Tribolium castaneum: one gene and its partners. The protein of the gene in region 2 purifies or fractionates together with the protein of the main gene of each other region. This does not show direct contact. Links are inferred from orthologs where the notes say so. Each region holds a gene or a part of one and is shown on either strand. Other genes may lie near its edges.

Region 1 (7,728 bases), on a different chromosome or scaffold from region 2:
ACCTCTAAAAATTATAAAATTTTAAATTGAGTTATGGACTAGGATCATAGGAATACGTAGGTAGCAAAATGCAAAGACTTATAAATATAAAATAAAGCTATTTAGGCAATCTATACAGTCCGTTTGAATAAATCAACTGATGCTCTCTAACTTTCCTATCTAAAAACACTTTCAGTTCCTGCAAATTGCACTCAATTGTGGGTCCTTGGAATGCGAACATTTTCAACATTTGGTGGATTCTCTCCAAAGGTAAAGTGTCCAAATTCATCAACATACCCAAAATGTACGACCAGAAAGTCTGTTAAAAAAAATAACATGTTTTCCCATAAACTTCAGTACAGATTGACCTATGATACTGAAATTAGGTTGGCAGCATTGACAACTGACTTTATTACCAACGTAATTTCAAAGTTATAGCCAATTTGTATAGATTTTTTACCTGTAATTCCTCTTCGCGTTGGTCTTGAGCGCTGGCCATCGCCGACTCTGATTCAAAATCTTCAACAACAATATCATCCTGTATATTATTTTCGTTATTTTCCTGTTCCTCCTGTAGATAAAAAACGTCGGGTTCGGGCTCAGTTATGATCCCGTGTGATTGCCAGAAACTCAGTTTGCGCCGTAAAATTGTCGACGGAACGTGCATTACTTTACTCAAAGCTTCCAAAGACCAAGTATCTTGAAACGAAAAAATAAGTCGCTTAAAATCTTGATCTTTTTGACTCACTCTGATCTTGGAAGTGCATCAAAATCGTCGCATGCACCGGTGAAACCGACAAATTCAAAGTCCTATCCGCCAATTCAATTTCAAGATCCACAATTCCTAAATGATTTTTCCAACACAGGGTTCTGCTACCTTTTAAAGTTTCAAAAGCACCAGTGTAACTCTCCATCTGTTTCACCAATTTTTCGTGGAGTTCAAGCTTCTCGTCCTTGAACGCTGGCCAAAACTGTGCGCTTAGGATCATGGCAGACATGGGAATATCATCGTCTGAATAACTCAAGTCTTGCTGAATATGTTGATTGATTCGCTTCGAATCGGCGATATCTTTCAACATAACTTCGCAAAAGTGGAGTTGGGAGTCACCAAAGCGCAACTTCAGGAGTTCAAGATAACGAATTTCTTTCTCGGTGTCGCAGGAGTATTGCGACAAAAGACGATCGGCTAATAAGGTGCGGTATTCGTTGACGAACAGCTCCTTACTGCCGTAGACGTTGACAAGCATTGAGATGATGTCAGAAGTGCGGGGAAGTCCCGAAGATTTGCCTTAATTTTTCGAGGGAATTAGTTATTTATATTATACGTGGGATAAGTCTAATTATTATTGGGAAGGCAGACAAAGCTTATTTGGTTTATAATTGTTGCTTACGTTTCGTCAACTTTTTGGGCTTCTTGAGGACAATAAATAATCATGTAAAATGTAAATGGAAAAAATCAGTTGTCGTTATTTAATAAATCGTTTAAAAAAGCAATTTTTCACATAAGCAGGTGGTTTACAGCACGACCGAGGGGAGAGGAGGGGAGGACATGAATTGCAAATATAGGAAATTAGCACCTAAACAAGTTAATAAGTACAATTTTTTTGTAACAAATAACTCAAAAATAAATATTTTTTTATAATTTAGTTTGCTGGTTGGTGACTAAGCACTAGAATTATTAAATTTAAATAAACTGTCACCGTAAGAAGAAAAAATCATTTGTCAAAAGTGACTATTCTCTGTTTCAAAACTATGGAAATGCCAACGTCGATTTCCCTCAAAGCGATAAAAAGACACTTACTGGGGACGACATCTACCGGATCTGGGGTCCACGTTTCCCAGTCTTCAACCCCCTCATCGACCGAAATGTTCTCGTCCACTTGCACGGCTTCGCCCCGGACCAGCTCTTCAGCTAAATCATTTGGGCCCTCTTCAGTCAAACTACCCACCACACACCTGTATTAAAAATTTCGCCCTATTTCGGAATTATTGTACACAAAGTGCCCCTTAATTGTGGAAATTTGACACTTAAATGTCATTCAAGGCCAACTACACTATTTATTGTCTTTCCGAAATTCCAGTTAGCTATGAAAATTTGACACTTAAACGTCAAATATGCCAACTAGACCATTTTTTTTTAATTATTAAACCTTATTGTGTCTTCCCGACTCCTTAAATACTGATGAACCGGTTGAGTAATTGTCTCTAGAAGCAGTCCACAGGGGTCCAAAATCCGCAATGACCGAATTGTAGCCACGTAAGCCGTCAGAACGTCAAACGTGCTTACTCCTGGATGTAATAATCTTGTTTCAATTGCTTTTTGCAACGACCGAGTTAAGTGGGGTTTTAGGTCGGTTTTTGGAAGGCATAGTCGAAGGTCGTCAAGGGCCGGAAGAGAATCAGGATATTCTGAAAATATTTGATGACAGACTGCCACAAAAACAATAATTTTTACCAATTATGATGTTAAATAACTGATCTATTCGTATTTTGGTGTAAGTGTTGTATAAATAATTGATTAGTTTTTTGTCAAACTCATCCATGGCCTTGACTGCCGAATTATGAAAGTAAATTTTTTTCAACCATGAAATAACAACCGTTTGAAGCCACTGAAAATAATTCGTATAATCGATTCAAGAAACGACTGATTTCTACCTTTTCTAGACTCTCAATGTGCGAATTATCAAAATTGTCTTTACAGATTTTCTGGATATGTGTCTGAATGTAACTATAAATTAAATCAGTGAGAGCCTGGCCAACTAACGGTTCCAATAAAGTCATCTTGCCCAATTTCCTAGACACAAATATTTGAGTAAAAAAATAAAAAACAAAACTATTTACTTATTAGTTTCTTCAAACATTTCACGACAAGAACAGGAAAATTCCTCTTGCATGCACACAACACACTCCCCACTTGTGCTATTTTCTTCCTCCGGGTCCTGCATTTTAAGCGCCGTTTCGTAAAAATTTACTATCATCCATTCATGATCAATGGGGAGTTGGGATAACAAGACGGCCCTAACGATTAATTTTAAAGCTTCATGCAGGCAAGTTTGATTGTACACTGGTTTAGTGAAATTGCTTGCTTCTCTCAACAGTATCAACTTGTTAATAATTAAATCGAGCTGCACATAATTGTGAAACAAAAATTTAACCACACTGTAGAACTCGTGAAAAACTGCCGCCTCGTTCTCGGTTTTCTTAAAGTGGGACCAAAAATCTGGGACTATTTCCTTCCTCAAACGTTCTTCTATTTTAATTATGACCAAATCCTGAATTTGCTGTGTTAAATTGAGCCTTTTGATAATGCTGATTGCCTCAAAAGGGGCAGAGTCGAAATCATTATCAGGGATCTTTGAAGGACTTTCTAAGATTGGAAAAGCTTCTTTAATCGTAATCCACGCACTTTTTAAGTCCAGGTTTTGATTATTCATTGTAAAAATAATAATTGCTGAACGTAAAAAACTGACAAACTTTTAGGTTCTGTTCCTAGAATAACACTTTTATAGAAGCGGAACATAATGGTTGGCAATGAATTCCTAGCTGAAGCCATCTAGCCGCATCATCACGTACTAAAAATGGCGCAAATTTAAAATAATTCCGATTACTTTATATTTTTTTAATTTTTGCTCACGTCAAAATGATGCCAATACCTTATCAAATACAATTATTATGAAAATTTCTTAATTGTATTTGAAAAGGTGGATCCACAGACAGCACAGATGGAAGAATTTTACCCAACATGACACGATCACATTTAATGTTAAAGATATTTATTAAATCCATTAAGTTTACGAAACTAATAGTCGTCACCGAATCGATGATAAAGACATACTTGCAATCAGCCAAACTGGCACCGGTCTGGCACCTTATGTTTGCAACTTCTGTCTATGGGAGTCTCCTCGCAGTGTGACTCACTTGCGGTTCGATCTCAAAAAACTCACTTTTGGGAAAAACGCACCTATCTACGTAAACCTTCTGGAGCTCATTACTACGTTATATTTTTGGAGATCATGTTGTTCCTAACCGATAGTAGGCAATAGTCTAACCTAAAGACGACACTTTGATCCACTATAATAATAAAAATTAACGTGATATTATAAAAAATAAACTCAAATTAAAATCAACAAAAATGGCGATTCAAGTAAAAAGTGAGTGAAAATAAAAATTATTTTTCTAATGTAATTTTCAATTTGCACAAGAAAATTCATAGTGTACGGTCATCAGGGCACTCAGAGGAATCGTTTGGTGTAAGTTTCAGCTTGAAAATCCAGAAGTAGTTAAAGTAAAAAATTACCAAGTTATACTTTATGTTTTATTACGTGGTAAAGTTAACAACACACGTTAACATACCCTTTATAAACGTTTAAACACCCTTTTTCATGAAAAGGTTGACACGAGAAGTGCATTTTTCAATAAATCTCACTGAAATTTATGTCGTTGACTCAAGGTAGATTTGTCTGTCCTTAAACATGTTCAATAATAATTAATAGCGCTCTAGAAGAGCAGGAAAGCACACAAAAAACATTAAAGTTAAAATTTAACACTTCAGAAGAGAGCATAATACACCCTAACCCTACTTTCTGAACTTTTGTCCTTATCTGGCAATAGCACATAATAAAGGTAGAGATTTCGACCCTAAATATCCTATCATAACGCTCTGAAAGGGCAGAGATGGAGACAAAATTCATAAAAGTGTAAATTTTGTCATTTTCGGGTGACAACATAACCCTACTTTTGAAACCTACCGAATTTTCAACAAAACGAAACAAACAAACAATGTTGCTATACGCATTGCGATACCACTAATTTTCGCACCAAAATTTCACATTGCCAGTTTCTGTTTAAATAAAAACATGCATTTTTATTTTTCCATTGACTGCATGCGAAACTTTTATAATTTTAGACGTTTATAGGCAAATACATTTGTCATAATTAATTTTTTTAGATCAATGCTGTTCTATTTTAAATAATTCTGTGTATGAATGTTTCTAAATTTGACGAATTTTTCCAGTGAATATTTCTGGTAATGACTTGTTTTAGACTTAAGTGACGTCACATCCGTGACGTGTCCCGAGGTTAGGTGTGCGGCGCAGGCGGCGAGAGCGCTTCAGTCGACAGCGAGCAATGGCACGGGTCAGATCGTGAGCGGGAAGCAGGAGGCGAGGTGAGTCGGGTCGGTTTATTTAAATTATTGTGTATTGTGCGGTTTCCTTCAATTTATTCAGTTTGTTACTTGCCGTTGTCGCGAACGGACGTGTGCTCAAACAAATCTAAATTTTCCGGTTTAAATTTTCAATTCGGTGACTAGTGATCGCGTTTGAGTGACACATTTTAAATACAGTAAATAAAATTATAATCAAACACTCAAATAATTAATTGCCACGTAATAATTTTGTCTTTAATTTCAATGAATGAAAGTGGCTTGCTCAAAATTTAATGCAAATAAACATTTTTTTTTGGTTTCATTTTTATTATTATTTTTTTTAATGCTACAAACGGTAGCCAACGTGGAAGCGATATGAAGGTAGGTGTATTTTATTGCTGTGTCGTATTTATTTATTTCACAAACCAATAATTTCATAAAACTTAATTGCAATTAAAATCTTTAAATGCGGTATTGAAAAGTGATATTTTGAGTGACACATTTTAAATACAGTAACTATAAATAAAATAAAACACTCAAATAATTTATTGCCACGTAATTTTGCCTTTAATTTCAATGAATGAAAGTGGCTTGTTCAAAATTAATGCAAATAAACCTTTTTTTTTTTTTCATTTATATTATTATTATTTTTTTTAATGCTACAAACGGTAGCCAACGTGGAAGCGATATGAAGGTAGGTGTATTTTATTGCTGTGTCGTATTTATTTATTTCACAAACCAATAATTTCATAAAACTTAAATGCAATTAAAATCTATAAATGCGGTATTGAAAAGTGATATTTTGAGTGACACATTTTAAATACAGTAACTATAAATAAAATAAACCACTCAAATAATTTATTGCCACGAAATTTTGCCTTTAATTTCAATGAATGAAAGTGGCTTGCTCAAAATTTAATGCAAATAAACATTTTTTTTGGTTTCATCTTTATTATTATTTTTTTTAATGCTACAAACGGTAGCCAACGTGGAAGCGATATGAAGGTAGGTGCATTTTATTGCTGTGTCGTATTTATTTATTTCACAAACCAATAATTTCATAAAACTTAAATGCAATTAAAATCTATAAATGCGGTATTGAAAAGTGATATTTTGAGTGACACATTTTAAATACAGTAACTATAAATAAAATAAACCACTCAAATAATTTATTGCCACGAAATTTTGCCTTTAATTTCAATGAATGAAAGTGGCTTGCTCAAAATTTAATGCAAATAAACATTTTTTTTGGTTTCATTTTTATTATTATTTTTTTTAATGCTACAAACGGTAGCCAACGTGGAAGCGATATGAAGGTAGGTGTATTTTATTGCTGTGTCGTATTTATTTATTTCACAAACCAATAATTTCATAAAACTTAAATGCAATTAAAATCTATAAATGCGGTATTGAAAAGTGATATTTTGAGTGACACATTTTAAATACAGTAACTATAAATAAAATAAACCACTCAAATAATTTATTGCCACGAAATTTTGCCTTTAATTTCAATGAATGAAAGTGGCTTGTTCAAAATTTAATGCAAATAAACATTTTTTTTTTATTTCATTTATATTATTATTATTTTTTTTAATGCTACAAACGGTAGCCAACGTGGAAGCGATATGAAGGTAGGTGTATTTTATTGCTGTGTCGTATTTATTTATTTCACAAACCAATAATTTCATAAAACTTAAATGCAATTAAAATCTTTAAATGCGGTATTGAAAAGTGATATTTTGAGTGACACATTTTAAATACAGTAACTATAAATAAAATAAACCACTCAAATAATTTATTGCCACGAAATTTTGCCTTTAATTTCAATGAATGAAAGTGGCTTGCTCAAAATTTAATGCAAATAAACATTTTTTTTGGTTTCATTTTTATTATTATTTTTTTTAATGCTACAAACGGTAGCCAACGTGGAAGCGATATGAAGGTAGGTGTATTTTATTGCTGTGTCGTATTTATTTATTTCACAAACCAATAATTTCATAAAACTTAAATGCAATTAAAATCTATAAATGCGGTATTGAAAAGTGATATTTTGAGTGACACATTTTAAATACAGTAACTATAAATAAAATAAACCACTCAAATAATTTATTGCCACGAAATTTTGCCTTTAATTTCAATGAATGAAAGTGGCTTGCTCAAAATTTAATGCAAATAAACATTTTTTTTGGTTTCATCTTTATTATTATTTTTTTTAATGCTACAAACGGTAGCCAACGTGGAAGCGATATGAAGGTAGGTGCATTTTATTGCTGTGTCGTATTTATTTATTTCACAAACCAATAATTTCATAAAACTTAATTGCAATTAAAATCTTTAAATGCGGTATTGAAAAGTGATATTTTGAGTGACACATTTTAAATACAGTAACTATAAATAAAATAAAACACTCAAATAATTTATTGCCACGAAATTTTGCCTTTAATTTCAATGAATGAAAGTGGCTTGCTCAAAATTTAATGCAAATAAACATTTTTTTTGGTTTCATTTTTATTATTATTTTTTTTAATGCTACAAACGGTAGCCAACGTGGAAGCGATATGAAGGTAGGTGCATTTTATTGCTGTGTCGTATTTATTTATTTC
Region 2 (8,741 bases):
CTAGACTTCAAGAGTTTGTTGTTCTTTTAGCTCTAACAAATCTCGTGATATTTATTAATGATAAGATAATGAGATTTATTAGCGTTCTGCGAACTGGTAACAGTTTAACACAATGGAAGGTGAGTACCGTTTTTCTGATTTTCCTTGTTTTCGGAAAATGGGTTGTAGGAGGCTATGGTTTTAGACCGGAATTTTCCCTTTCCGCACCCTTTAATTACCCTCAATATCCCCCGAATCAAAATTTTTACCCTCAATCTCAAAATACCAGTTTTCATAATCAAGGTAAGGACCAGTTTGGGGGGTTTACCGGACTTTATTACCAAGACGGAGCAATAAATATAACACTTACTATGAAATTCACTTCCAGCGTTTCGTTGGGTTGACAGTTCCATCGCCTATGGGTCAGTGCCACCGACGGCCCTCCAAGGGGGCATGGATGGGGATGGGCATCCCATTTACGTTGGTAGAGCCTACCATGAAGGTGACTTGATCCCTGCCAAAGTGATTCCCGGCAAAAACGCCGCCTATGTCTCTCACAACGGACAGGAACACCTCGTTGAAAATTTCCAAGTAATATACTGGGTGTTTCTATTTGATATTTATCCCCTTGTAACTTTTTTTTAAAGTAAAACAAGCATTTTTATCCGCAAAAGTGACAAATATTGTGACTAAATGTCACAGGCAACAGTTCTATTTTTCGGCCATTATATGCATATGCATATTCTTGAGATTTTTTTTTCGAACATATGGACTTTTTTTGGACTTTTAACAACTCCAGAGGGATGTAAAGGCATAGAAAAGTCCATAAAACTATGCTAGAATGGGTTTGTAAAAAAAATATTTTTTTCACGTTTTTGGAAGAAAGTGTATTATTATTACTCAGAAAATTTTAGCAAAAATTCTCATTCACGGCTAAACTATTCCAGAAAGTGGAACTATTTTGTTCCATACCTATACAAAATGATCCGGGGAATCGATTGGCATCGAGAAAATTGCCAAATTCCCAATAGTTTTTTAGTTATGAATTTTTTAAAATTTTACTAATTTTTGCATTTATCTCCAATTTGCTCGAAAACTATTAGTCGGAGAACAATAATTTTTTTTGAAAAAAATAGATAATATAAAGAGCTTTCCAACGATAATACACTTCGTAGGGTTATCTCTAAAAGTTCCGGAGCTATTGCTTGACAAAAGTTCCGGGTACCGAAAATCGACAAAATTTGCGACGAAAATTGAAAAAATCAAACATCAAAAAATCGAACATATGGACTTTTTGTGGACTTTTAACAACTTTTGTGGGTTGTTAAGACATGTAAAAGTCCATAAAAATTTACTGGAGTGAGTTTAAAAAAAATTTTTTTTCACCACTTTGAAGGTAATTTTAGCAAAAAAATTGAAAATTTTAGATCTCGTGAAAAGTTGGTATAATACAGAAAATGAGCCGCTGAATTCAATGGAACAAACCGCATTGCTCCTCGACTTTTAGTTTTCGAGTTATGAATTTTTTAATAAATAACCCGGCGCATCCACCAATTTTAAAATTAAAATATATATTTTTTTAAATTTCTCGAGTAAGCTAGTGTTGTGAAAAGGCTAGTATTCTAAGCAATTTAAGCAGCAGAATTCACTGCAACAAACGGTTTTGCTCTACGACTTTTAGTTTTCGAGTTATAAATTTTTTGGTTGAATAAAATTTTCCACTATAAGAAACAACTATCTTAATTTTTAGCAAAAAATTTTAAAACTTTAGATCTCGTTAAACGTTGGTATAATTCAGAAAATGAGCCGCTGAGTTCATTGGAACAAACCGTTTTGCTCTACGACATTTAGTTTTTGAGCTATGAATTTTTTTTGTTGAATATGGGAAAATAAAGCCCTTTTATATTTTGTTTTATAATCTCGTTATTTAATTTTTTGTATCTGTACAAAAACTAAAAGAAAACAATTTTTCTTCCACCTTGCAAGGTTAATTAATAAGGAAAACGAATTTATTTATTTTTTAAAATTTTCAGGTTTTATGTAAACAATACTTCGAGTGGGTACAATCGCACGCCGGCCACTTGCCACCAGGGGCGGTCCAAGGGGGGCACACCAGCGAAGGGGAGCCCCTTTACATAGGCCGCGCCTACCACGAAGGCTCCCAAACAATTGGCAAAGTACTTAACTCACCCTTATAAATTTTAACCCTTGATCATTTATTTTCCAGATACACCCCAGCCATGGTGTCTGCTACATAGCATACGGCGGCGAAGAAATCGCTTGTCCCGAATACGAAACTTTAGTCCTTAGAATGTAAATAAAGTCATTCTTGTACCCCACTATTGTTCATCTCCGCATCTTCCTCCTCCTCTTCCTCCCCCTCCATTTCATACAAGCGCACCTTCCTCCGATTTTCCGCCAATACGATACCGACACGTCGACTCCCCGACACTGCAAACTCCGCCCCCACCATCCCCTCCACACACTTAAACAGCTTCGGAACCAAACACGAACCGTTCAAACTAACCACGTTAACCGCACCACTAAAAACACGATCTGTCTCCCCCCCATCCACAAACTTGTCCAAAACGCCACCTATCGGTATCTGACTTAAAACTGTAGCTTTAGAAACGGTGTTTTCTTGCAATAAAACCGACAATACTGCACTCGAATATAGTTTAATATCGATCACGTGATAATTATCCTCGGAATTGTCACGGGGGAAGTACAGACGCGCACACTTTATGAAACAATTGCCATCGTCTAGATACACCTGCAGGCCTAGAACGGTCTCAGGCGGCTGCAAGTAACAAAAAAGAATCGATTCTTTGTTTAAGTTGACTTGGGACGTCCGTAACGAATCGCCGCAAAATTGGAAACAATTGAAGTCATTCAAATGACTGAACTGCCTACTAATTTGCTCTCTAGGTGTCGCGAAAATCGCATCGACGCTTTGCTTCAAATGCTTGTACTGTTGTATCAGCGACATCTCTTTGAAGTGCCTCAAAATGGAACTATTTTTTTCGATGCATTGGTTCTGGGCCAAAAAATCAGTCCATTCGTTCCCGGACATGTCTGGTTGGATCGTCAAATTGCCATCGCTTAAATATTGCCCCAACCGCTCCATAATGAACCCCTTTTGTTTGTTATTCCGACTGATGTGGTCAAAGTTTTGCAAAAATTCGGTGATGTAAGCCAGGTCTTGCTGAGTCATTTTGGGGATTTCGTTCGGTATTGGCTCATCCAGAACGTGCATTATTGCCGTGTAGAGCCAGCGGAAGAAGGCCTTGTAATTGATGATGGAGTGATTGATGATTTGCTGCATTTCGCTGCCTTTGATCAAGAAGGCGCCGTTCGAGGAAATGGCGCCGGTAATGGCGGCCGCGTCCAAACCCAAAACCTACAATCACCCAATCACCATTTTTTACACTAATAACTTCTTTTCAATTGAAACGCGTCCTAAACGTGGGAGCGAAAAGCCGAAAAAGGCGTTTTAAAGCCGTCAGGGGTTTCCCCGAATATTTTGGACTTTTTTCACGTAGTATTTGCTCGATTTTAAACTAAATATTTATTTATTTTGCCAGATAGTATTTTGTTCGTTTAAAAAATCAGACACTATATTCGTTTCAAAGCAAACCTGATTGATATTTGTTTGTTTCACTCAATGTAGCTTGTTGCGTAAAATTTCGTCTAAAATACGCCTGTTTTTTAACTATTTCTCAGACTTTGAAATTATCGAACTAAATGTGATTTTTCCATTTTTGTGCATTTTTGATGGTTTTTCTTGCCAAGTTCACACAAAATTAAATTTTAATTTTTTTGTTGAGTTGGCAGCCACCACACACTTGTACCAACCTTATAGCGGTGTTCCAGTCTTGCCATCCCCCTCATTTCGGCCAAGTGATAGGTAACATTCTGCCCAAACTTCATCACATACTTCAGCATCAACTTCTGAATGTTGGAATAACTCATCTCAATCGTCTGCCCGAACTTCTCCAACCCTTTCTTCGTTAAATCGTGTATGAGAAAGGTCTTCATCTCATCCGAGCAAATTCCAAACGTCAGCAAATCCAAAAAATCAGCCGTGACGCCCCCTTCTGGCACCTTGCTCGCATATTTCGACAACTTGTTGTCCATCTCCAGCAAAATGCTCTCCCAGGACTCGGTGATGGTGGTAATAGTGTTGGAGAGATAGGTCACCAGTGAGGTCAATTTTATGTGTTTGAGGGCCAAAGCGAACAGTTCGTTTGTGTGCGTTTTGAAAATTTCCGAATCGAAACAAATCAATTTAACGTTGTTTTCGTTGTCTCGCACTGTGAAAAACATGCGGTTCAGGTCCTCGTTCAAATGCATGTTCTGGATGGAGCAAAGACAGTTGAGAGTTTGCTTCAAGTCAAGGGAAGCGCACGGGAAACAACCGAAAACTCGCACGTGCACGGTGCCCTCACTTGTCCCAATCAGGAGCAAATTAAAGTCGGTTTGCTCTTGCAAAATGTTGGTTTTCTGACCATCGTCGTTGTTGGGGGAATCGAACTGTTGTAGCACCGGTTCGGGCAAAAAATTACCCGATAAGTCCTACAACTGGGAAATTAAACGAGCACTAACATTCGGGTTTTTTTACAATGTGTTTCATGTACTGATTCTGTTTACTGTCTTCGTCAACTGAAGGCAGTTTCCCTTTAACAGTCCGGTCTTGCAACCAATTGAGACATGAAACTTCGCCCTTGATGTCAATAGTGTGCAACACCGACTTATTCTCGACCTTCACAAGCAGTATTTGGCCTGAAATTGCACAAAACAATGGATTTAAATTATTTCCAATACTTTTTTTACAATATTTTACCAGAACTGTACGCAATTGCTATGATTTTGCCGTCAGGCCTCCAGGCAATACTTGTGACCTTTAACCCATCCTTGGGGGCACTGAGACTCCACGCTTTGGTCCAAGTGAGTCGATGAAGAGCCACCTCTCCTACAAAGACACCCAAAAATGCCGGTTACTGCAAATGGGGGTTACCTTTGATATTGGCAAGAGCGACAAGGTCCATACGGTCGCTCCACACCATTTGAACAATCTCACTGGCCACATTGCGCTCTTCGAGCTGTTTAATCGCCTGAACTGTGCTCATTTTCCAACAATTAGTAACAAAAAACAATTTTCAAATTGTAAGGTTACGTTTAATTCTGTCATGGGTACCAACTGTGCGTCTGGACCCGATTTGCTTTATTTAGCCAAATGTGCACAAACAGGCCTAGTCAGGCGTTACGATTCACTTTAGGGTTGTAACCACAATAGATAAACCAACATTTTTGTTATTGTTGGCTTTAAAATGCATAATTTTGTACTTTTTTAAAAGGTAGAGGGTTGGTAACGCTGACCGTTTGTTGAAATTGGTGTCCCAGGTGTCTTGATTACTTCGTTCCAAGTTGGAATTAAACAATCACCATGGATAATTTAGAAGCAAATATCATGGACAAGTCAATGCGTTCGGTCTTTGGTACAAATTATTTAAATTTTAAGTGATAATTATAACCCCATTGCTTCCAGTGGGCAACATCCCCTACGAAGCCACCGAAGAGAAGCTCAAAGACATTTTCGGCGAAGTAGGCCAGGTCCTGTCATTCAAGTACGTTGCCCTGCCCCCTGAAGCCCCCTAACGCCTGAATTTTAGGTTGGTTTTCGACCGCGAGACAGGCAAGCCCAAAGGCTACGGCTTCTGCGAGTACCGCGACCAGGAGACGGCGCTCAGCGCCATGCGCAACCTCAACGGGTACGAGATCGGGGGGCGCAACCTCCGGGTCGACAACGCCTGTACCGAGAAATCGCGCATGGAGATGCAAAACTTGCTGAACCAGCCCCCGGTCGAGAACCCCTACGGCGAGCCGATTCAGGCCGAGAAGGCCCCCGAGGCCATCAGCAAAGCCGTGGCCTCGTTGCCCCCCGAGCAGATGTTCGAGTTGATGAAGCAGATGAAGCTCTGCATTCAGAACAACCCCACTGAGGCCAGGCAGATGCTGCTGCAGAACCCCCAGTTGGCGTACGCTCTGCTGCAGGCGCAGGTGGTTATGAGGATTATTGACCCGCATACGGCGGCTGTGAGTTGGGGGTTTGGGGGCGTATTTATATTTTATTGGGGGGTTTTAGACAATGTTGCATCCGCAAAATCCCGTTCCTTCGTCTTTGACGCCCAAGGAAAAGACTAATCCAGGCCCCATTCCGATTAACAGTAATTATGTCTCGAATCCCACGCCTGTGCAGCCCCCAAGACAGGACTTTCAGCCGGTGCCAGCCCCCGCGATTCATAATAATTCCAATCCGGTCTTCACAGGTGATTTTTTTTATCACAATTGATTATAAATAATAATAATGTTTGCGTTATTGCAGGTCAAGACGTTGATCTAAGATCACTGGACCCCCGAGGGGCTGATCCTCGCCTCAGCCGCCTGGGCGACCAGGACATGCGCACTTTGCCCGGACAACTCCCCAACCCCCTTCCGCCGCCACTTGTCGAAAAGTAAGTAAAATAATTCAACCTTGAGCCCTTTTACTCAAATTTAAACAGTTTCACTAAGCAGGATCAGAAATTGGAAAGGTAAATAACCATTTACAATTGATTAGAAATACAATTTACTGATACTTTTTCTTAGCTTTAATAGGGACCCACGTGGAGGTCCGGCCAACTTCCCATCTGATCCGAGACAACAACAGCGAGCTGACCCAAGACAGAAAAATATGCGTATGTGTGAAGTACGTAATTGAATTGGTTGTTGAAAGTCTGATTTTAGCCCCTCAGCAAAACGCGATGCCTCCGCAGCCGGTCAGAGCCCCGCAGGGGCCCCCCAGTACCCCCCAAGTTCGCCAAGCTGCCAATGTTGCTTCAAGTATAGGTACAGCTGGGGCCTCAGACCAGGAAAAGGCGGCCCTGATTATGCAAGTCCTGCAATTGTCAGATGAGCAGATTGCAATGCTGCCACCTGAACAGCGTAATAGTATTCTAGTTTTGAAGGAACAAATCGCCAAAAGTGCACACCGTTGATTAATTAAGTCATTTCCCCAAATCAGTTTAATTTTTACAGTTTACATGATAATTAAAAAATCTTTAAAATTATTAACATAAACACTATTTACAGTATTGTGTATATATCATTTAAAAATCAACAACAAAAACGCACCCTCTAGAAAGTACAAAATAAATGAGCGATTCCTTCGGTTGTTTACGATTAAATTGTAAACAAGAGGTGGATTTATTCGTTTGCAACTTTCAGTTACAAATCTGGTTGTAATGGTTTTGTTAAAAAATTAGCTAGTTCGGCACGTTGGTACTTCTTGAATGGACGATCCGTCTAAAGCGCTTCCTTCGATCTGGTAACCCATGCTCGCCAACATTGATTCGAATGGGTCCATTGACATGCGATGCTGATTTGTTTCGACTACAGTGGAGATGCATTTGACGATTCGGTTGTTCACTTTGCCGTCCTAAATAAACGACAACGGAAACTCCAACATTAATAAAATTAATAGAAAAAAGTTACTATATTTCGGAGAAAAATTTCCGATCAAGTGACTAAGTTATCCGTTTTCGAAAAATCATACTAGCCTTTTTTTTGGAACCTTTATCGAATTAAAAAAAAGCCGTAATGTAGAGTGGCCAACTTAATTTCAAAGTGAGACCAGCAATTGTGCTTACCTCAGGCCGAGGCGACCATATTTTAACGGCCGTATCAATCCCGCTGGACGCTATAACACAGGCACTAGGGTGTGGTTGAATGCAATTAACTATCGAGTTATCTCCAAAGAGAGCCCTAACCACATTCATACTCTTCTTATCCCAGATAAAAATGATCCCTTCGTCCGATCCTGCACAAATATAATTATCACAATCACCTGAAAGCCGCCGTGAAAAAACCAACACTCTACAACCACCACAAACAACCTAAAAAATTCGCCTCCTTGATATCAGTCGTGGTATTACAATGCCCTATGTAAATCTTCTCAAAATCGAACGAATCCAAACGTAACTTTTTCTCATCATCTTCCACCTTCTTCACTCCCGTCTCCTCAAACTTGACGCTGTTTTTGAGCGCTTGCAACTCCTCAACGAGGAATTTCACCTGCGAGGAGGTTTCACATTCGGGGTAAAGTTTTGTAAAGTGTTTCAACCAAGCGTTGGCTTCGTCTTCCCACTTCATGGCAATTAGGCATTTGATTAATCCAATGTAAGCCTGTTTATGGTCCGGCCAATGCTGAATCACGTGTAAATAATCACGTGCTGCCGCATACAAATCGCCCATCCTAACAAGAAAAAAAAAATTAACAAGCCTTTTTTTTTGGCTATTTGTCTCAATACCACTTGCGTTGGTACGCCTGTAGCGCCCGCCTCATGTAAAAGCAGGCACAGTCCGTGTTTTTCTCAAACAAGTCGGCGCTGACCCCGTTAAGTTCAGCCAACAGTACGTTCTAAAAAAAATTGCATTTTCCTAGTAGTGACTGGGGGGATAATTACCGGTTGGCAACAATTCCGGTAGGGTTGATGGGGCCGTTTAGGTAAGTTTTGGGGGATTTTGAGTTCGTTAATGTGTCGGCTATTATTTACATCAAATAAATAAATCTGTTCACCCCCGATATTTACCAACATTTCTGAACCGGCGGAATTGAACGCGATATAAGTGACTGATAGTTTGATGCTCATAATGCCGGCATTTTCGCGTGCCAGGTGCCCGGGGGCGTAGTATTGCACACAGTCGCTGTTTTGGGGCTGCGG
Region 3 (5,648 bases), on a different chromosome or scaffold from region 2:
TGTAGAGAATTAGGGATTTCCCCTGAATTTGCAATTAAAAGAAAAATTTATTAAAATGAGCTAACTTTGGGAGGCACAGGTTACAACAGAACTGCCTGTCTTTAAAATTGTAAAACTGAGTTTTTAACTCAAAAATTATGTGGTTGTGTTTTAATTTACCCCAAGCATTAGAATTTTGATGCGTCACTAATATTTTATTACAAGGTTGATTTTACTACTTTTGTCGTTTCTTATTTTATTTTATTTGGAATAATAGAATAAATATAATATTAGAAATATAATGCCACATGGTAAAGATAATGCAATCTGGACCTCTTATGGATATATAAAAACTCGACAATCTATTATTGTTTTTAGTAGTGGATGTGTATTCGAAAACTTTTAGGTTCATTTATATTGTTTGTATTTGTATGTAATAAGGTATTGTTTGACACAATGGCAACTGAAGCTGTTCGGAGGGCTGTTCAAATTATTCGTAATGACAATAATTCAATTAGCCTCGACGTAAATGCCCTCCAAAATATTCTTTTGAGGGACGAAATAAGGAATAAAAAAATCTGTGTCCTTTCAATAACGGGAACTTTCAGACAAGGCAAATCTTTCTTATTAAACTTTTTTTTGAGATATCTGAAACTAAAGGTACGTATGGAATTTTATTTTCTATTTACTTTAATTAAAAATGCTAGCATGGGAGTTCTCCACTTGATCCCAATTCTGATTGGTTGGATCCCATACATGGGTCACATTTGTCGGATTTTTTGTGGGATCATGGGTCTAATGCTCATACCAATGGTATTTTAATGTGGCCAGAGATTTTTACTATTTATAAACCCTCGTCAAATGAAGAGGTAGCTAAATGATCGGTTTTATATTTAATATTTTAAATTGGACTTCCAGATTGCGGTTGTTTTGCTCGATACTCAAGGCTCATACGACAATCAAACAACCGTAGAAAATTCGGCAACGATTTTTGCTCTTAGTACAATGATAAGTTCCGTACAAATTTATAACGTGATGCGCAATTTGAATCAAAACGACTTGGAGTCTGTGGAGGTTTCTTACAAAATTATTGATCTTATTTAAAAAATTTAACGAAACATTATACTTAGATGTTTGGCCAATATGGGAGATTACTCACAAATGATGATTGCCCGTTTCAAGATCTTTGGATTTTAGTCCGAGATTGGCTTGCACCCTACGAAAGGCCATTTGGTATTCCAGGGGGTGAGTCTTTGCTTCAAGACAGGCTTTACGGTCAACATGATGCGCTTCCCGACGAAATAAATGAGCAAAGAAATAATGTGCGCAATTTATTTCAAACAATTAATTGCTCCCTGTTACCATTTCCTGGAGAGCGGGTAGCGGCCGATCATACTTTTAACGGAGATCTAAATGGTTTCTAAATAATTATATTTCCAAAACTGAATTTAACCAATGATTAATTTCTAGAAATTAATGACAATTTTAAGCGATACGTTAAGCAACTAGTTGAACGCATTTTTGAACCAGAAAACCTGGTAATAAAACGCTTTAACGGAGAAGAGATCACCGCCAATGATTTATTTCAATGTTTTGGCACGTATACTGAAATACTTGGGGATGGTTTACCACATGTTGAAACAAGACTAGCGGTATAATTAAGCGCTTCAGTTTAAAAAATTTGAGAAAACGCCACATGTTTCAGGCGACAATAAATAATCAACATAACGACGCTGTTGAAAGTTCTTTTGAACTATATGATCGACAAATGCATCATAATTTTTCCTCAATTTTATTACTTAATAATCACCACGAATCTTGTAAAACAAGAGCACTTGACAATTATCATAATACTAGATTATTAGGAAGCAGTCTCGTGTATGATAGATACGAACAAAGGCTTATCAGGGTAAGGACATCAATTAATGTTTTTGTAGGTATAACTATAATTATCTCTACGTATATCTCGTAGAAAATGGACGAACGGTTTTCGATTTACAGGGAAAGATTCGATTTTGATAGAGATCGCCAACTTGAACGTGAACGACGAAGAAATCAACAAGTGAGTCTTCAGCAGTTCAGACCATCACAGTCTTCGAGCCTCGTTTCACGAGAATCCCTTTCAACAGAAACGATAATTCTTCAATCCTTGCGTATTGCAACAGGACTTGCGGCAATTGGTTTTGGCATTTATGAAATAATTCGTCAATCATCTAGAGATACAGGAAATTCTAATACAAATAATTCTTCTTCCACAAGGCGGTACTCAACTGATGACTCTGATTCTACATAATCTACTAAAACCGATCTTTGTTAATATTTTGTATCTTATTACTTTTTTGGTAGTTAAATAACTTGCACCAGTGTCGGCCACTTTAAATAAAAAAATAAGCAGAAAGTTTGAGGCATTTTATTTGTGACAGTCAATTTATTTACAACCTCCGGTAACCCCAGCTTTCTGAAAACCGCGTTTTTAAAACCATTCACGTTTCTTAATCTTTCCCTGTGATATATGGTGGAGGCGCCGGGTAAAGACAAGTTTTACAACTACGTATACGCAACTAGTTACATTATTTTAATGATTTTTAGTGTTTTGGAACAAATTAGAACTATATGCATTATTCTTAAGCTCAAACAAACTTTTATCAAAAATGCAGCCTTTCATCTAATATTTCCATTTAAAAGCTTAGTAATATTGCCGCAATTTATTTCAAACAATTCAATGTTCTCTGTTGCCATTTCCTATACCTACATGTTTTAGTTTTTTTGGTAGTAATAAACGACCGACCAGTTGCACATATTATTTCAACGTTTTTTGTATTTTTATAAAATAATTACATTACTGCGTCTTGCGACGACGACTTTTCTTCTTTTGCATTATCAGCGAAAGCCTCATTTTGCGTTCAAACATAAACTCAAATGTGCTTTCAACTGACCCTCTTCCGCGATGCATATCATGAGGATTACTGCAATTACAAAAGTTTCAAACCGAATCAAATTCGGCACAGACTTACATAAACCAAGAAGATTTGGCAGCTGGTAAGCCCGTCGCGTGTTTCATTTCCCTCACAGAGGCAGTAAGTGCCATCTGAAAACAAAATTAAAAACGAACACCACTTGCACGCACAAATACTTCTTTGATTTGTTTCCGTCTCTCCCAAATCTTTAGATTTTTCTTCAGCAAGCCCAACTCAGCTTTCTTTTTCACATACTCTAAAACAGAAGGAACCTAAGGTACGATAGCCAAACTCACTTGCTTAATTCGAGCAAGAACCTCGTAATTTTCACTCTTGGTTTTAATTTTATCGTGCTCTTCCTTGGTTGCCTCCAGTTCTTCGGAAACCTTTTCACATTCGTCGTCGATTTTCCGAACCAACTCCTCTTGCATTTTGATTGTGTCTTGATACACTTTTAGATCGGTCACTTTCTTGAGCAGATGCTTCTTCTGATTGCTCAGCAGTAAATTCGCGCGGCCGTTCATTCTTTTCAGTTCGAGAAGCAGCAAATTCCTTTTATCGATTTTCTCCCTCAAGTGCTTATTATCAATTTCGAGCTGCTCAAAATCCACCTCTTGCAAGTGCTCGCCCAGTAACTTCTTCTGCGTTAATTGAGCGCATATTTTCTGGTACTGCACTTTTAGAGAGCTCGTCCTTAGGCGCAGTTTATCAATCGTAGCGCCAGTTTTTTTAAAAGTTTCGTCCATAAACCTGTCCGGCACACCACAGTCTTAAAATTAGTTTTTTAAGTGGGGATGTCTTTACCGACAAAAACGATCCGCTGGATTCTTTTGCGAATACTTTTCTGATAATTCGTTAGTAATAAATGTTCTTTCAAACGTATCTTTGATTTCTTGTATTTCACTTTCGCGAATTGCCATTTCCTCCAACTCTGCTTTCAATTTATGCCTAATAACGTAGCACTTTCTGTTGATTTTATTCAACGCTGCTTGAATATTGTCCATTTCTCGCAGTATCAAATCAGTCTTCTGCGTAATATTGATTCTTAAAATAAATATCAGTAAATTTAAATTCGCGCCAGGCACAGCGTCGCCAATTATTTAGAACAAAACTAAAAGAAACTAGAAAAAACGTTTGGAGGTAAATTTATTTGTGTTCATTTTGGCAATTTGCTGAATCACTGTGCTCCCAAATTTAGTAAGTGCCTTTAACAGCTGTATTCTAAGGCAGAATATTTGTATTTCTTGTTAGGTTTTTTGTGTAAAATTGCCATAACCCCACTTTCTAGGAATGGACAGTTCAGTGACTATTGATGGTTACTTTGTTGATTTAATTGACGATAAGTGGCGTTCCGAGAAGCTGCCTCACGACGATATCAACGTCCCCACGCACGAGCTCGCCGACCCCGAGGCCGACTCCGGAGACATCCACTTAACCCTCCAGGAGCAAGAACAAAAGTGGACCGACATTGCCCTCAGTGCACTAAGCGAACACCAGTGATGGAGCTCCCCAATTTAGGTCAGCAATGCGCCCATTCAAACTGCCAGCAGTTAGATTTTCTCCCTTTACAATGCAAATGCGGCAAACAATTTTGCTCGGAACATTTCAACAAACACGTCCAAGTGTGTGAAACCTCAACGAATGTTGAGGTAGAACCACAAAAAATTCAAAACGTGTTCAAATGCTCGTTCGAAAATTGTCACGAATCTAGTTTGGTCCCTTTGCTTTGCTCCACTTGTCGTAAACATTTCTGTATAAAACACCGGCATATCACCCAGTGTAGCGAGCCAGACGAGGAAACTCTCGCCCAAAAAAGGGAGAAACTGGCTGCGCCTGTGAGGCAGTTCAATGAAGCTAAGAGCGCGGTTGATAAACAAATCGAGCAAAATTTAATCGCGGCGAAAAAGAAGGGTAAAAATTTGGCAAACAAAGTACAACTCATGAAAATTAAAAATAAAGCGAAGGGGTTAAATAGTATTCCAACTTCAGACCGCGTTTACTTCAATGTTACACACCCTGAAACGGGGCACGTGACCCCCGTTTTCGTTTCAAAAATTTGGAGTTTGGGGCGCGCAATCGATGCAATTGCAAGTGAGTGTAAATTGAGGAATGATAATAACAAGAGTGGTGAAAAAAAATTAAGATTGTTTAAACAAGATAGTGGTGAAATTTCGAAAAATCTGGCGGACGGTCTTGAAAAACTGATCAGTGATGGTGTTATTATGGATGGGGAAAATCTTATAATAACTTATGTAGATGATAATTGAATAAATTTTTCAATCATACCTTGGTCCTTCTTTCTCTAATACTGTGGGGGTTATGGAACTTGTTGAGTATGACAAAATTGTTGACTGGCGCGAAGCTCTCGTCAGTGTCAGTCTTTTGGAAGAAAGCGAGGCACGGTCCTGGATTGTTTGGACGTTTTTCAACACGTTATCCATACCTGCACTTTCCATGTTTTAGTCATTACAGCCGAGGTGGGAATATTTTAATACGTGTTCATATTCAAATTACGGGAACGAGATACAAAATAAATCACTTTTCTGTATTCAGAACTACAGAACAATCCTATTTATCGAATTGCAGACGTTCTAAGCAATGTAATATAATGTTTATTAATTTAATTTTACCTGGAAATGATAAAAACTGCAGAAAACTTAAATGTTAATTAGGATTAAGGTGAATTTTTATGTTATTGTAGTTTCCTTATTT

The links. The genes of interacting proteins can lie anywhere in the genome.
Region 1: the proteins of APC4 (region 2) and mr purify together in Homo sapiens (affinity purification with western blotting; 12 studies listed by BioGRID and IntAct, with this or other methods). This does not show direct contact. The link is inferred for Tribolium castaneum from reciprocal best matches to the Homo sapiens genes ANAPC4 and ANAPC2.
Region 3: the proteins of APC4 (region 2) and anaphase-promoting complex subunit 13 purify together in Homo sapiens (affinity purification with mass spectrometry; 9 studies listed by BioGRID and IntAct, counting the BioPlex papers as one, with this or other methods). This does not show direct contact. The link is inferred for Tribolium castaneum from reciprocal best matches to the Homo sapiens genes ANAPC4 and ANAPC13.

Annotation. Positions count from the first base shown.
Region 1 is NC_087394.1:29,186,343-29,194,070, reverse strand, and holds mr (anaphase-promoting complex subunit 2), read right to left. Parts: upstream 3,509-7,728; 5' UTR 3,414-3,508; coding exon 2,821-3,413; intron 2,774-2,820; coding exon 2,635-2,773; intron 2,589-2,634; coding exon 2,435-2,588; intron 2,389-2,434; coding exon 2,130-2,388; intron 1,936-2,129; coding exon 1,781-1,935; intron 1,268-1,780; coding exon 728-1,267; intron 679-727; coding exon 440-678; intron 299-439; coding exon 98-298; 3' UTR 79-97; downstream 1-78. UniProt on the Homo sapiens protein: Together with the RING-H2 protein ANAPC11, constitutes the catalytic component of the anaphase promoting complex/cyclosome (APC/C), a cell cycle-regulated E3 ubiquitin ligase that controls progression through mitosis and the G1 phase of the cell cycle.
Region 2 is NC_087400.1:319,743-328,483, reverse strand, and holds APC4 (anaphase-promoting complex subunit 4), read right to left. Parts: upstream 5,215-8,741; 5' UTR 5,109-5,214; coding exon 4,997-5,108; intron 4,952-4,996; coding exon 4,823-4,951; intron 4,762-4,822; coding exon 4,601-4,761; intron 4,555-4,600; coding exon 3,835-4,554; intron 3,380-3,834; coding exon 2,303-3,379; 3' UTR 2,297-2,302; coding exon of another isoform or gene 2,207-2,296; 3' UTR 2,157-2,206; coding exon of another isoform or gene 2,013-2,156; 3' UTR 1,946-2,012; downstream 1-1,945. Other genes in the region: uncharacterized protein LOC659212, read left to right, coding at 100-119, 169-282, 368-570, 2,013-2,156, 2,207-2,296; CstF64 (cleavage stimulation factor subunit 2 tau variant), read left to right, coding at 5,426-5,477, 5,528-5,606, 5,652-6,075, 6,125-6,308, 6,365-6,494, 6,543-6,572, 6,628-6,716, 6,766-7,016; WD and tetratricopeptide repeats protein 1, read right to left, coding at 7,280-7,456, 7,668-7,864, 7,914-8,272, 8,328-8,437, 8,484-8,741. UniProt on the Homo sapiens protein: Component of the anaphase promoting complex/cyclosome (APC/C), a cell cycle-regulated E3 ubiquitin ligase that controls progression through mitosis and the G1 phase of the cell cycle.
Region 3 is NC_087396.1:19,125,443-19,131,090, reverse strand, and holds anaphase-promoting complex subunit 13, read left to right. Parts: upstream 1-3,999; 5' UTR 4,000-4,133; intron 4,134-4,224; 5' UTR 4,225-4,226; coding exon 4,227-4,436; downstream 4,437-5,648. Other genes in the region: atlastin, read left to right, coding at 364-639, 687-848, 898-1,053, 1,110-1,395, 1,450-1,631, 1,685-1,888, 1,952-2,272; AN1-type zinc finger protein 1-like, read left to right, coding at 4,436-5,203; uncharacterized protein LOC100142251, read right to left, coding at 2,821-2,945, 2,994-3,067, 3,113-3,208, 3,254-3,686, 3,741-3,980, 5,223-5,379. UniProt on the Homo sapiens protein: Component of the anaphase promoting complex/cyclosome (APC/C), a cell cycle-regulated E3 ubiquitin ligase that controls progression through mitosis and the G1 phase of the cell cycle.